Linked DNA regions of Lonchura striata. The main gene of each other region encodes a partner of the protein of the gene in region 2 in a complex. Links are inferred from orthologs where the notes say so. Each region holds a gene or a part of one and is shown on either strand. Other genes may lie near its edges.

Region 1 (6,610 bases), on a different chromosome or scaffold from region 2:
ATGTAACTGGAGAAAAGATATACTGGTAAGCAATTATATCCAAATGCAGAGTTGCCAGTAGCTGCTAAAACCAAATTGCATGAAGACTGGACACAAACTAGAACTGTGATAGGTGATGTTTTGAGAAATCCTTGTGCTATTTTTTATCCAGTTGGAAACTGTCATGGGCTTGAAGCTTCATCTGGCTGCATGAACCCAAAACCCACCTGAAGATGCCCAACATTGCTTACATAAATTACCAGACGTGCTGCTGTGGTATTTGAAAAGCCACAAATCTTGTCAATCAAATAAAGTCCTAAGGAGTTTACTGACTGCCAGTTTGGCTTTTCATTGTGTCAAGACTCAAACATTCCTTGGACACATTTAGAAAGTTGCCTCACCAATCATCCAGTGTGTCATCAATTACTTTTCTTCCCTGCTCGATGACCTACTAATATTCTTTAAGCCATAGTTGCAGTTATAAAGTATTTTATCTGGAAATACCCTCTGGAACAAGCAGTATGGGAAAAGCCTGCTATTAGAAATAGCACTACAGGAATCTCACTGCAGCTCTGAAGTATTAAATCTACAGAATGGAGAATTATGTAGGAATATTAATACACCAGATTACATAATTAATTTTTGAAAATGTGCTTTAGTCACTAAACAGTACAATTCTAGAAAGTTTTGTGTCCTTTAACCATATTGCAGTGATGTACCTCAGGATGGGTTTAATTTCAAGATGTGGTATAATATTTTCCTATGACAAAATGAATAGAATATGCAAAAAAAAGTTTTAAAATAATTCAGAATTTTTGCAATATCGTTGTTGTTCACCTACCTGGCTGTAAAATCTGTCTCATTGCTTTCCCCTTGTTTTCAGCCCTGAAGTCTGATTACATCCAATGGCACAAATTCAACGTCAGTGGCACAGCAGCTGCAAACAAAGCAACAGAGATTTCTTCATGCCCAATTGGTTCAGGTATCTGTACCATCTATAAGGGAAGGTCAGGGAAGGGTAGGTTGCTGGCTGATCAAGAAAATCTCTTGTTAGAGGAAAAGGCTGTGGTCAGCTCTTCCCTCCCACACTGTGGCTCCAGCACCTTTGGTTTTTTAGGCCTCTCCCTCATCCTTAGAAATGTCATGCCCCTGCCTGGTGTCTGTAATGCCTTCTCCAAAGGCATTTGGATAAGCCTTTCCTGTAATAAACTTTTGAGAATGTATTATTATATTGTCTCATTCCCATATAGCATTCTGTGAGTTTATCTGAAGGTAGAAGACAACACCCTACTCAAGCTTAGGTCTAGCCTGAGAAAGTTTGCTGCTGCACATGAAGAAATTGTTACACATGTGAACTAAAATCTTTTAAATATCTTTGTATTTCAGGCTAAAAAGGTGCTCATGCTCCCTTTGGAAACTCAGAATCCACTGTGTTTTTCCTCTTCTTACTCCAAGAGGAGCAAAAATTGTCTTCTATAGGTCAGGTCTCGTTTGTAGGCACAAAGAATTCCTAAGAACCTGCAGATTTTTCATCCATACTTTGCCTTTGTATTTATGTGCACAGTCCTATACATACAAAATATCATTAAATACCTTTCAATTGAAGAGATAATATTTTGATTTCCTATCTGTTGTTTCTTTTTTTGTGGTAATGCCTATAAATTTGAATAGTCTTGAGCCTCTTACTGAACAGCAGCTCAGCAGCTGTTAGCCCTGGTTTCCTGGGATCAGTTCAGTAGTGCTCTGAATTTTTAAAAGGATGCTTAAGACGGGGAAAAATTTGAATCTGAACATGAATCATCCTCTGACTGAAACATTAAAAGAGCTCAATACTATTTTCAGCTCCTCATTAAACACTGGATACACTGTGTCCAAACAAAAGTGCAAACAATTACAGTATGTGGTAAAAAAAAGTACATTCATTTGGTCCATTATCTGTCATTCCCACTTTTGATATGCCAAGTTTGGCAAACAGGGATGACATTGGATAATTTATTAGCAGCTGTATTTTCAAATAATGTAATTTTTGGATATGAGAGAGAATAATCCAAATCAAGTAAGTTATTTTTTTCTGCATGTAAACCAATGCCCATTTTGAGCTGGCACATAAAATTTCTTTAATTACCATCATAGGCTCTATTTGTTTACAAATAACGGGCACATACTGAATATTTTTATTTTTGTGTCTTCTCTCTCCTGAAATAAGCTGTATCTTTTTCAAGGCATCAAGGTATTAAGCCATCTTTGTTTGAAATTTCAGGTACGACCCATCACAACCATTGAATAAAAATGACACTTAATTTTCTAACACTTGTCCTTTACTTCAGCCTTTGCTGTCACATGCTAAAGGTTCTATATGAATGCCAGGCTTCTGTAAAAAAATTACCTTGAGAGATTCATTAAAGGTTTTGAATACATTAGAGTAAAATCTAAAAAAAGGGAGCTTTCCATTATCAACTGCATGGGGACTAAAATCCTTGCCTGTTATGCCATTCCACTGTACATTTTTAGTCACATCATACCTAGGAATATCCTCTTGTAATAGTTTAGTCATGTTTTAGCCTTCAGGTTAATATCCTGGTGTTTCCAGGAGATCCAAATCTCCCAATAAAACATATTCCCATGAGCCCCTGTATGCTGCATATAAGGAAAGGATATTGCCAGCTGACAATAAAATGCTGTAAGTTGTCTTTACTCTGTTTTCCTGAACTTGTTCAAGTGAATTGCTTCATTAATTCTCAGTTTACTCACTAATCTATAGACTGAGGGAACCATGAGATCTCTAGAGCTTTTTGGAGTTTTTGGTTCTCCCCTCCCTTTCCCCACATAATTCTACAACTCTTTATGAGATACAACAGAACTGTAACATAAGCAAAAAGCATTAATGTAAAAGCAATAATGTCTTAAAAATTCTGGGTTACAATGTGCAGGTGCAAAATGTTTTTTGTTTGTGGATGCTTGCTTGGGTTTTGGGGGAGAAATACACTGGAAGTCAGAAGAAGCAGCTAACAGGAAAAAATATCTTGCAGCAAAAATAATCTTTCTTCATGTATATGGGAAAATACTGCTGATTTACACATTTCACGTCTTAGAAAGCAGGCAGAATTCTATATTTCTTTCACCAAATTTATAAAGTAATAGTTTTTATCTCAGCTGCTTCAAATGCCTTCATTCTGCTTAGTACATTTGGTATACTCAGTGCTATTCACAGATATAGGTAAAGCAGAGCAGTGAAGGTCTAACACCATTTCAGCAACTTTTCAGTGGCACCAACTTCTCATTAAAAACTTTATCATTCTTGGGGCCTCTGCTCCTTACTAGTAAATAAACTTTATATCTGATCTGGAGAGACTATTCTTATTTCCCACAAGTATTATAAGTATTATCTTTTTAGTAGTTTGTAAAAATATTTAGTTGCAATCTTTCACTTGTAGATCACTAACCTTACTGTCTCATTTAAGTTTTACCTGCCTGCATTTAACAACTCAAAGTTTTCTTTGCAAATCCTTCCAACAGCTTCTGAGCTCACGTTATCTTGGGCAAAATTCTGAATTTAAAAGTCAAACTTCCTCACAGCTTCCCAGGACTGACTTTCTGTTGAGGCCTCTTTACCCTGTAAGTGAAATGTCAAATCAACGAAAGCATCTGAGGGTGGGTACATGAGGGTCAGGAGGGTGTGTGTGACAGTGACATCAACTGAGACAATAAAAGGGCTTCCAAGTTACTTAGAAGCTCTATTTTAAAGTTACATTTAAGGGGTCCACTAAACCAATTCAGTGGTCTTTAAATATACTTGACATCAAGAGACAGTCATCTGCTGACATACCCAAGCCAGAAATCTCTTAAACATTCTATCTGGTAAGTATACTCTTCTTTTTTCCAAGTTCTCTGGAAGACTTACTAGAATATTTTATCATTGATTCTTGACAATTCTTTACCCATTTTTGTGTTAGTTTCTTTTCAGACTATTAAAAAGTGAGTATTAGTAAGATCAAACTGTTCTGCTATCTAAACTAAATTTGTGAAATTAAAAAGTCAGAGACAGTGAACGGGAAATATCTTAAAGTGAATTCAAGTCCTGAATTTATAATCTTGTGTTGGATGGACTGCCAGGACCTCACTGATATGGTCATGTAAGAGACCATATTATAAATGCTTTTCTGACCTAGAGCAAAGCTGCAGAAACTATTGCAAAAAATGGCATTGTGGAGTTTTATACCTCTTTAGGTTTCAGTTACACTGTATCAAATTTCTTAAGTGGTAACAAAAAGATGCCTTTTTTGCCTGCCGATACTGAAAATCCAGACTAGAAACTGGTATTGGAACTGTGCTGTTTTGCCTGTTGTAGCATCATCAGTGGTAAATATTTTCTAAATATATTCCAAATGGCAGTTCTGCCAATGATGTAAAACTCAGAGGGGAAATGCAGGATTATCCCTGATAAAATGAGGGGCTTAATTCTGATTTTTCTTCTGCAACTCAGTAGGGACTGGGGTAACTCAGTAGAGTTATGCCTTTATGCAAAATTTTCAGGGAAAGTGTCACCCTCTTCATTCTAAAGAATACACGGAAGAAATAGAGAAATAGAGAAAGTTTTATTCTATAAAATTTTTCATTTGAATAGCTATACATAAGTATTTCACTGGACTTGAAGGCTCCAAATTCATAATGATGATGGTGATGACTATAACAATAATATTGGAAGACTGTGGTGCTTTTCACCCAATTATGCAAGAGATAGGTACCTAGATGATGATGATGATGATAATGATAATGATAATGATAATGCAGGGCAGCTAAAGCTGACCAAAATTAATGGAGTTGCCCAGGAAGTACAATAAGTTGCTCACAAAATGAGTATTAGAAGTAAATCCTTCATTTGCATTCCTTGCTCTAACTCGTTTCACAAAAAAGATTTTTCAAAAACTCTTGTCTGAGTTTTTCAACTTTTTTCCTAATTTCAGTATGTTTGGAACAAACAGAAATAACTTGAATTACAGACTTTACATGTATTCATTTCTATCTTTGTAGACAAAATGACTTCTATAAGAAACCTGGCCCAGGCTGCAATCATTTTATGTGCCATGTGCTTTTTTACAACCTCTGATGGAAGACCAATGGTGTAAGTATATTGTCTCACACTAAATGGCTTTTGCTGCTCCTGAGAATGTGGTGGTTTGTCTTTGCATATGTGTGTGAGTTCTGTCCCTCCTTTTGAACCCTTCAGCCAAGCTGGCCAAACTCTGTTCTCTGGAAATAGCTGTGGAGATCTCAGGCACTCTGTATATATATTTTTTGAAAATAGGCAGCTGAGTAGAGGGATATACATCATGTAAGTCTTCTCTTATTATTTAAGTTGGATAAGCTCCATGTCTTGGGGGTCTACACAAGTGAACATCTTTCGTGCTGAGAGAATCCAGCTGAAACTCACACTTAGGCACTAACATCTACCAGCTGAGACACAAATCCACAGGGAATCATGCTTCCTTAGCTTTAGTGATCACAGAAAACTACCACTGAATAAATGCCATGGATTCATTGATCACATATCTAACATTGTAAAAGTCCTAAGCTCCTCTACAATAGCTGAACTAAATTATAGAAGCAATATTGTCACAAAACTGAACTACTTCCCACTTGCGATGCCTTCTCACTGATACATCCATTACCAATAACAAATCACCACCCACCCTCCCTCTCTTCTCCAGATGTCATTCTATGCCCTACAGATCAGCCAGGCAGCTCCTACAGCTATGTACTGTGATTCCTTACAAAAGTTCCCAAAGCTGGGCCTTTGAGGCGAGGTCTGGAACCCAAGAAGGGCTCCCACGGGCCTGTCTTTGCTTTGCTTTGCTGCAGGAGAAGGTCGGTGAGCGAGATGCAGTTGATGCACAACCTGGGCGAGCACCGGCACGCGGTGGAGAGGCAGGACTGGCTGCAGATGAAGCTGCAGGACGTGCACAGCGCCCTGGAGGACGCTCGCACCCAGAGGCCTCGGAGCAAGGACGACGTCGTGCTGGGCCGGAGGCTGCTCCCGGAGCGCCTGCGGGCAGCAGGGCAGAAGAAATCCGTGGATCTGGACAAGGCTTACATGGATGTCCTCTTTAAAACAAAGCCCTAGGGAGAGCAGCCAGAGCGCTGTGTCTGTCCACGTGAGCACTGTCCGTGTAGCGTTGATCAAGTAGGGCATTTCATTCATATTTATTCCAGCTGCAGTAAGGATTAAAGGCTTTGTTCAAGGCTGTAGTCCCTCTGAGTGAGGTATTTTACAAGCAAATTATAGAATGTATTTACAGTCTACCCAGGACCACTGCTGGGGGCATTTTGGCTGATGTATCTTATAAATTGCCAGCATGAAAGGAAAAATAAACCCAGATCAGTAAGAAAGCTGGAAAACCATTTAAGGCCAGTTCTACAACTCTTACATGGGCAGTATTTGTGTGTAATCACCAAGCCTGCTTGTACTGTTAACCAGGAAGGAATAAATGCAGGGGAGACTGTCTCCAGAAAATGGCTTAGGGTTAAACTTTGTTTAACTTTGTACTAATGGAAATACATGAATTAAACCCACATCTATTTTCAGAAGAAGGCCTAAAATCAGATTAACATTAAGTACACAGCAAAAGCTGCA
Region 2 (7,516 bases):
AATAAATATTACTAACACATTTCGTAATAAATAATAATAATAATAACAAACGTTAGGATAAATCCATAAAATCTCTCCCTGCTGACCACCCTCGATCCCATTCCTTCTTTCCAGAGTCCCTTTAAAAATCCAATTAGCTGGAAAAAGAAGCAACAACTCTGGGAAAATCCAGGCTGGAGGCGATTCTTGGATGGGGGTGACAGGGGGTGACATTATCCTGCCTAAGGGGGACACTCGGGATCTCAGCGGCTCCCGGACTGTCAGGATGGATTTGGAACCATCTGGGAATTCCTTTTGCTGTCAAGATCGGTTGGAAAAGCAAGGGAAGTGTCTAAACCGGGAATTTAAACCTGGCCTAGCTAAACTGAGCAGGAATTGGAGCAGCAGGACCTGAAACCAGTAAAAATCCGAGTTGGGAAGGATCCATGGGATCGGCAAATCCAGGTCCAGGAGGGGTTTTAGGGAAACTCCTGTGCTTTCCCAGCAAATCCCATGGATTTCGCAGCCCTCTGGGATTCTGGCAGAGCTCATTCCCAATTTTTGCCAGGTCCAGCTCACCCTGAGCCGGCGCTGGGGACGTGGGGGCACCTCCCAGCTCATCCCTTGGGATGGGGGATCCCAAAGAAATCCCACTGTGGATTACAGGCAGCAGATACTGGGAGAGAGGAGTGAGCTGGGACTGGGAATAATGGGAATGGGAATGGGAATAATGGGAATGGGAACAGGAACGGGAATGGGAATAATGGGAATGGGAATAATGAGAATAATGAGAATAATGGGAATGGGAAGAATGGGAATAATGGGAATAATGAGAATAATGGGGATAATGGTAATGATGGGAATGGGAATAATGGGAATGGGAATGGGAATAAAGAGAATAATGGGGATAATGGGAATAATGGGAATGGGAGATGCAGCCTTGCCCAGGTTTTTTGCACCCTGAAACTCCCCCAGCTCCAGCCTGGCTGGTTCCCAATCCTGATTTTCCCAGCCCCAAAGCAGCAGGAATTGCAGGAGTTCTGGAGCAGGAGGCAGCAGGTGCTGCAGGACCTGGACACAGCCCCAAGGTCAGGAGATGCTGATCCAGCCCTGGAATTTGGGAAAAGCCTCATCCATCCCTGAAATCCCAACAAATCTCCAAGTGGTTCTCCTGATCTCCCCAGTTTTCTTTGGGTTTTGGGAGGTTTCTCCACACACCAAACAGGGATGGGCTCAGGCAGGGATCGTTTTCCAAGGGGCTGTTCCTTCTCATTTAGCGAGGAGAAATTTCCCACTGGAAAAGCTGGAAAATCCCCCCACAGCTCTGTGCAAGATTCCAAACTGTCAAATCCAGGGAGAAGGCCCAGGCTGGTGGATCCTAAAGGGACAGGAGGGACCTGACTGGAGCCAGGATGGTCCTGATCCTGATCCTGATCCTGATCCCAATCCCGATCCCGATCCCGATCCCAATCCTATTTCCATCCCTCCTGGAGAGCAGATCCCACTTCCCATGGGTGTCCTGCTCCTTCCTGGAAAACGCTGGGAAATGGGAACAGGAGTGAGAATCCCAGGGATGGGGAGAGCCAGCAGAGCTCCTGTCACAGGGAATTCCAGCACTGGCTCCACATCCAGCAGCTGATTCCCAAGGAAATGTCCCTTCCCTGCTTCCTGGAGGTTTCGGAGCTGCAGGTCTCACACCATTGCCCAGTTTGGATGGATTTATCCCGGTTTTCCAGCCTTGGGAAGCCTGGTGTGTGCAGGAAGGGGTGGAAAGTGCCAAGGTGCAAGGGGTTCCTACAACTTCCCTGTTTTTCCCAAATTGAATTCCAAAGGAGAGGCTCAGTTTCATTGGGATTAAGGAGATTTGCAGGGAAAGGAGAATTGGGAACGAAATTGTCTTGGAGGGGGTGGAGAGGAAGGGATGGGAAAGGGAGGAAGAAGAAGGAGAAGGGGAAGGGAAAAGAAAAGGAAGAAGGAAAAGAGGAAGGTAAGAAAAAGGAAAAGGTGGAGGAAAGGGGAAAAGGGAAGGGAAGGGAAGGGAAGGGAAGGGAAGGGAAGGGAAGGGAAGGGAAGGGAAGGGAAGGGAAGGGAAGAGAAAAAGTGAAGGGAAAAGGAATAAATAGAAAGGAAAAAAATGAAAGAAAAAGGAATGAGAAAAAAAAGGAAGAAAAAGAGAAAAAATGAAAGATAAATGAAAAAAATAAAAGCAGAATAAGAAATCAAAAAAGGGGAAAAATATGAAAAAGGAAGCAAAGTTGTCGTTTCTCCATAGGCAGATCCCGAAATTGTGCCCCAAACGCTGTCCCGGATCCCTGTCAAGCCTCCCTCGTCCTGCCCTGAGCTTTCCAAGCGATCCCAACTCTGGGAAGCACAGACATTTTCACTGCAGCGCTCACAGCCCCGCCAGCGGCTCCCAACACCCCCAAACCAGCTTTTTAATCCTTCATCCCTTCATTTCTCCCTCCTGGCGGCAGGATCCGCACGGATCCTGCGGGAAAAACCACGGGGGGAGGAAAAAAAAAAACAAAAAAAAGGAAAAAAAGGCAAAAAAAAAAAAAAAAGAAAAAGCGGGACTCACCAGCGCGTAGACGGAGCTGAGCACGGAGCAGCAGAGGATCAAACCCAGGCTGGGATACAGCAGAGATGATCCCATATCCAAGGGGCTGTTCCAGCATCCAGCCTCGCGCAGGGAAGCGCCAGGAGGCGAGCTCGGAATTCCAGCGGCGCGGCTTTTTCCTCGTCCTCCCCGGCGTGCGCCCGGATCCGCGGGATTTTGGCTCCTTCGGCTCCCCAGCTTTCAGCCAGAGAGGCACACGACGAGAGATCCCGGGGCTTTTCCTCGTTTTCTCATGGCTGGAGTGGCGGGCAGCTCCCAAAATTCCGCCGCGGAGCCCATGGGGAGAGGCAGCCGCGGCTCCCGGTGCCGCTGGATCATCTGGGAGAGAGCTGGGAAATCACATCCATATGGGCCCGGCTGCGCCTCGGGATCCCGAGTTTCTGCGGCTCCGGGAAGTTCAAATCATTTCTTTGTCAAACGCAAACACGGAGAGGGAGGGAAGGAGGGAAGGAGGGAGGGAGCAGGGAGAGGGCTGGAAGGGGTGGGAGATGCCAGAGGGAGGGGGAACCTTCAACCACCGCTTTATTTTTAGCCGCAGTAATTTTATCTTTTCGCTCGCCGAGGGGACAAAAAAACCCCAAACTTCCCCCCCCCCCCCCCCCCCCGCCCTCCGTCCCTTTTATTTTTGGGGTTTTTATTTTTTTTTCTTTTTTTTTGTTGCCTCTCCTCCTCTCTGCCGCACGCAAACAAATCCCAAATTTCCAAAACGCCTCAAAAGTTGGGAATGTTTTCCCTCCGCTGTCGCCTTTGGGGCAGCGGCGGCGCTGGGGAGGTTTTGCTCGGCTGTCCCAAAAAGTTGGTTCTGCCAGGCAGGGAATTCTCTATTTTTAGGGGAAAATCGGAGATTTTTGGCTTCTCTCTTCCTCTCTGCCTCCAAGGAGCTGCAGTTTGGAAAAGACGATTGCAAACGTGGGGCTGAAAATTCCCATTCCCTCTTTCCACCCCTTTCCCGTCCTTTATTTTAGGATTTTTTTTTTTAAATTTACCCCCCTCCCCGGAGCAAAAGCGCTTTGCCCTCACTCCGAAATTCACTGAAATCCTCGGCATTTGGGGCTATTTTGATTTTGGGATTTATTTATTTTTTTTTTCACCCACATGGGCGCAGAGTTTTCCGGGAGATCCCAGGATCCCTGAAAACCGGGAAAAGGGTTGGGATATCACTCCCGGCTCAGCCGGGAGCTTTCATTCATAAAACTCCGCTGCGAAAAAAAAAAAAAATATTAAAAAAATCCAACCCACCCTCTCTTCCCCCAGAGCGAGCTGTGTGTGTGTGTGGGGGATTATTTGGGAATTGCGGCGGGATCCAGCATTCCCTGCTGGTTTTTCCATGCTGGGAAGAGAAGCGAGGCTGGGAAAGGGTTACAAGCCCTGCCAGGGATGCACCACGCGGGCAAACACGGAGAGGCGCCGGGCTCGGGGCTGACTCACTCAACTTTAAAAATCAATCTCGGAGCGATTTTTTTGGGTCGTTTTCCCCCTTTCTTCCCCTTTATTTCCCGCTTTTCTCGCGGATATTTAGGAGCTGAGGAGCGAAAAATTCCAGTCTCTCCTCTCTCGGGGAGCAGACGGTAAAAACATCAAATTTTCGCTGCGAGCATTTCTGGGTTATTTTTTAGGAGCGCCGAAAAAAAAAAAAAAAAAAAAAAAAGAGCGAGAGGGAGAGCGAAAAAAAAAAAAAAAAGAAATAAACCCCAAACTCTCCGCTTGCTCGGTGCTCGGGTTGGGTTTTTTTTAAATCCTTATTTTTTTTTTTTTTCCCAGCTCCATGGCCGTGAATGGGAGCCTTGAGCTGGGTTTATGAAAGGCTCTTTCCAAGCGAAGGTAGAGTTGGGCTTCCTGTGAGAGGCAGAGAGGGGAAGGGATGAAAAAGGGCCGCTCTTGGTGCGATCTCTGCCTCCTCCTCTTCCTCCGCCTCCTCCTCCGCCTTCCCCTCGCCCTGGAATCCCGAAGGATCTCCCGGGCGGGGGGGATCACGCAGGGGTGAACCCCCCGATCCCGGTGGGGATTGCAGCGGATCCGGGGCAAATGGATTGGGAGTGAAGGGGGGGTCTGAATTCATCCCATTGCGTCCCATCCCATGGGTCCCGTCCCACTGCATCCCACTGCATCCCATCCCATGGATTCCATCCCATGGATCCCGTCCCACTGCATCCCACTGCATCCCATCCCGTGGATCCCATCCCATGGATCCCGTCCCACTGCATCCCACTGCATCCCATCCCATGGATCCCATCCCATGGATCCCGTCCCACTGCATCCCACTGCATCCCATCCCATGGATTCCATCCCATGGATCCCGTCCCACTGCATCCCACTGCATCCCATCCTGTGGATCCCATCCCATGGATCCCGTCCCACTGCATCCCACTGCATCCCATCCTGTGGATCCCATCCCATGGATCCCGTCCCACTGCATCCCACTGCATCCCATCCCATGGATCCCATCCCATGGATCCCATCCCACTGCATCCCACTGCATCCCATCCCATGGATCCCGTCCCACTGTATCCCATTGCATTCCATCCCATGGATGCTGTCCCATGGATCTCATTGCATTCCATCCCATGGATCTCATTGCATGCCACCCCATGGATCCCGTCCCACGGATGCCATCCCATGGATCTCATTAAATCCCATCCTATGGATCACATCCCATGGATCCCATCCCGTCCCATCCCATAGATCTCATTGCAAACCACCCCATGGATCTCGTCCCACTGTATCCCATTGCATTCCATCCCATGGGTCCCATCCCATGGATCCCATTGCATCCCACCCCATGGATCCCACCCCATGGATCCCATCCCATGGATGCCATCCCATGGATCCCATTGCATCCCATTGCATCCCATTGCATCCCATTGCATCCCACCCCATCTCCATCCCCATCCCATCACATCCCATCCCATCCCATCGCATCCCATCCCATCCCATCCCATCCCACCCCATCTCCATCCCCATCCCATCACATCCCATCCCATCCCATTGCATCCCATCCCATCCCATCCCATCCCATCCCATCCCATCCCATCCCATCCCATCCCATCCCATCCCATCCCATCCCATCCCATCCCATCCCATCCCATCCCATCCCATCCCAGGGGAGCGGGATTGGCCTGGAGGGTGCTGAGGGATTTCCGAGCAGTTCTCCCCCACACTCCTCCCACCCCATTCCCATTCCAGCTGGATCCCAAATCTGCTTTTCCAGCAGCGATTCCAAAGTTATTCATTAGGGAGAGCGGGGAAGGCTGAGGGGAATTTGGGAATTTTGGGGCAGCTATTCCCACCGCTGCTGGGGATTTTGTGGGATCTGGCTGCTTTTCCCACTGAGGGAGGCCTGGGACTGGGGAAATCCTTCCCAGGGATTCCCAGGATCTGTGTGGGTTTAGGGACACAGGGATCCACAGGCCTTGGGAAAAGGGGGAAAAACTCCCCTGCAGCATTCCAGGGGCTCCGTGGTGGATGTTTCCCTGGAGAGAGGGGGAAGAAGGGAAAATCGAATTTCTAAAGTTCTCATTAAAAATGAGGATTTTATTGGGGCCTTGTCCAGAGATTCCAGTGCCAGGAGGGGATGGGAATAAACTGGGATCCGAGATGGTTTGGGAATGGCTGCATCCAGGTTTTTGGTGTCCCCTCTGTGTCCAGGGATTGATCCGGGGATGCCTCTGATCCTGTTTGGTTTTCTACATATTTTGTAATTTAGAGAGATTTCGTTATTTAGAGATATTTCATTATTTATTTATTTATTTATTTATTTATTTATAATGAATTAATTTAGTTATTTCAAATGTGTTTATTTAGAAGTTATTTCAAATTTAATCATTATTCATTTAATTTATAAATTTATTTTAGTGCTATTTATTTTATTCATTTATTTAATTTATTTCTTTAAACGTCCTCTATTATTTCCATATCTACATTTTTTTTTATTCCTCCCCCAAACTGAAGGGATCAAAGGGAGATAACGCTGAACTGCTGGAGCTGCACAAGAAACAATTCCCAGTTTAACCCTTGCACAAGACTGGGAATTTTCCCAGTTTAACCCTGGCATAAAACTGGGAATTTTCCCAGCTTAACCCTGGTATAAAACTGGGAATTTTCCCTATTTAACCCTTGCACAAGAAAGGAATTTTTTTATGCCAGGGAATTTAACCCTGGCATAAAACTGGGAAATTTTCCCAGTTTAACCCTTGCACAAGACTGGGAATTTTACCAGTTTAACCCTGGCATGAAACTTGGAATTTCCCCAGTTTAACCCTGGTATAAAACTGGCAATTTTCCTAGTTTAACCCTGGTATAAAACTGGCAATTTTCCCGGTTTAACCCCGGCATTAAACTGGGAATTTTCCCAGTTTAACCCTGGCATAATACTGGGAATTTTTCCAGTTTAACCCTGGCATAAAACTGGATTTTTTTTTCAGTTTAACCCTTGCACAAGACTGGGAATTTTCCCACTTTAACCCTGGCATGAAACTGGAATTTTTTTCAGTTTAACCCTTGCACAAGACTGGGAATTTTCCCACTTTAACCCTGGCAACAAAGGGAATTTTTCCCAGTTTAACCCTGGCACAAGAAGCTCTTCTGGGATATCTGCCCCTGACTCCAAGACTGAGAAATTTTGGATCCCTTTTATCCACAAAAATCCAAACTAACTCCTCAGGTTCCTTAGATCCAAAGTCCTCCCTGGCCAGATCCAACAGCCAGGGAATTAATAATTCCCCCATTTCCTCCTGGAAAAATGGGAATTACAGGGCCTGGAGTGATTCTTTGGTGGCATGAGCTTCAAATCCAGTCCAGCCAGGTGGATTTTTTCCAGGAAATCCTTTTCCCAAACACTCAGAGAGAGGGAAGGCTGGACAATTCCCACCCTTCTTCTTGGATCCGTGGGAATTAGGGTTTGATTCCCAGATCTGCATCGTT

The links. The genes of interacting proteins can lie anywhere in the genome.
Region 1: the proteins of PTH1R (region 2) and PTH are in contact, whole or in part, in a cryo-EM structure (PDB 9JR3), measured with the Homo sapiens proteins. The link is inferred for Lonchura striata from reciprocal best matches to the Homo sapiens genes PTH1R and PTH. Residues at the interface, in NP_000307.1 of Homo sapiens: Val31, Met32, Thr33, Lys34, Glu35, Gln37, Ile38, Leu41, Glu111, Trp112, Asp113, His114, Ile115, Ile135, Tyr136, Asp137, Phe138, Arg146, Arg162, Thr163, Ala165, Tyr167, Val171, Leu174, Thr175, Glu177, Glu180, Arg181, Phe184, Leu187; in NP_000306.1 of Homo sapiens: Ser32, Val33, Ser34, Glu35, Ile36, Gln37, Leu38, Met39, His40, Asn41, Leu42, Gly43, Lys44, His45, Leu46, Asn47, Glu50, Arg51, Val52, Glu53, Trp54, Leu55, Arg56, Lys58, Leu59, Asp61, Val62, His63, Asn64, Phe65.

Annotation. Positions count from the first base shown.
Region 1 is NC_134608.1:58,837,853-58,844,462, reverse strand, and holds PTH (parathyroid hormone), read left to right. Parts: upstream 1-5,006; 5' UTR 5,007-5,015; coding exon 5,016-5,101; exon of another isoform or gene 5,102-5,838; coding exon 5,839-6,100; downstream 6,101-6,610. UniProt on the Homo sapiens protein: Parathyroid hormone elevates calcium level by dissolving the salts in bone and preventing their renal excretion. Acts by binding to its receptor, PTH1R, activating G protein-coupled receptor signaling.
Region 2 is NC_134603.1:155,828,934-155,836,449, reverse strand, and holds the start of PTH1R (parathyroid hormone/parathyroid hormone-related peptide receptor), read right to left. Parts: upstream 3,003-7,516; 5' UTR 2,633-3,002; coding exon 2,558-2,632; intron 1-2,557.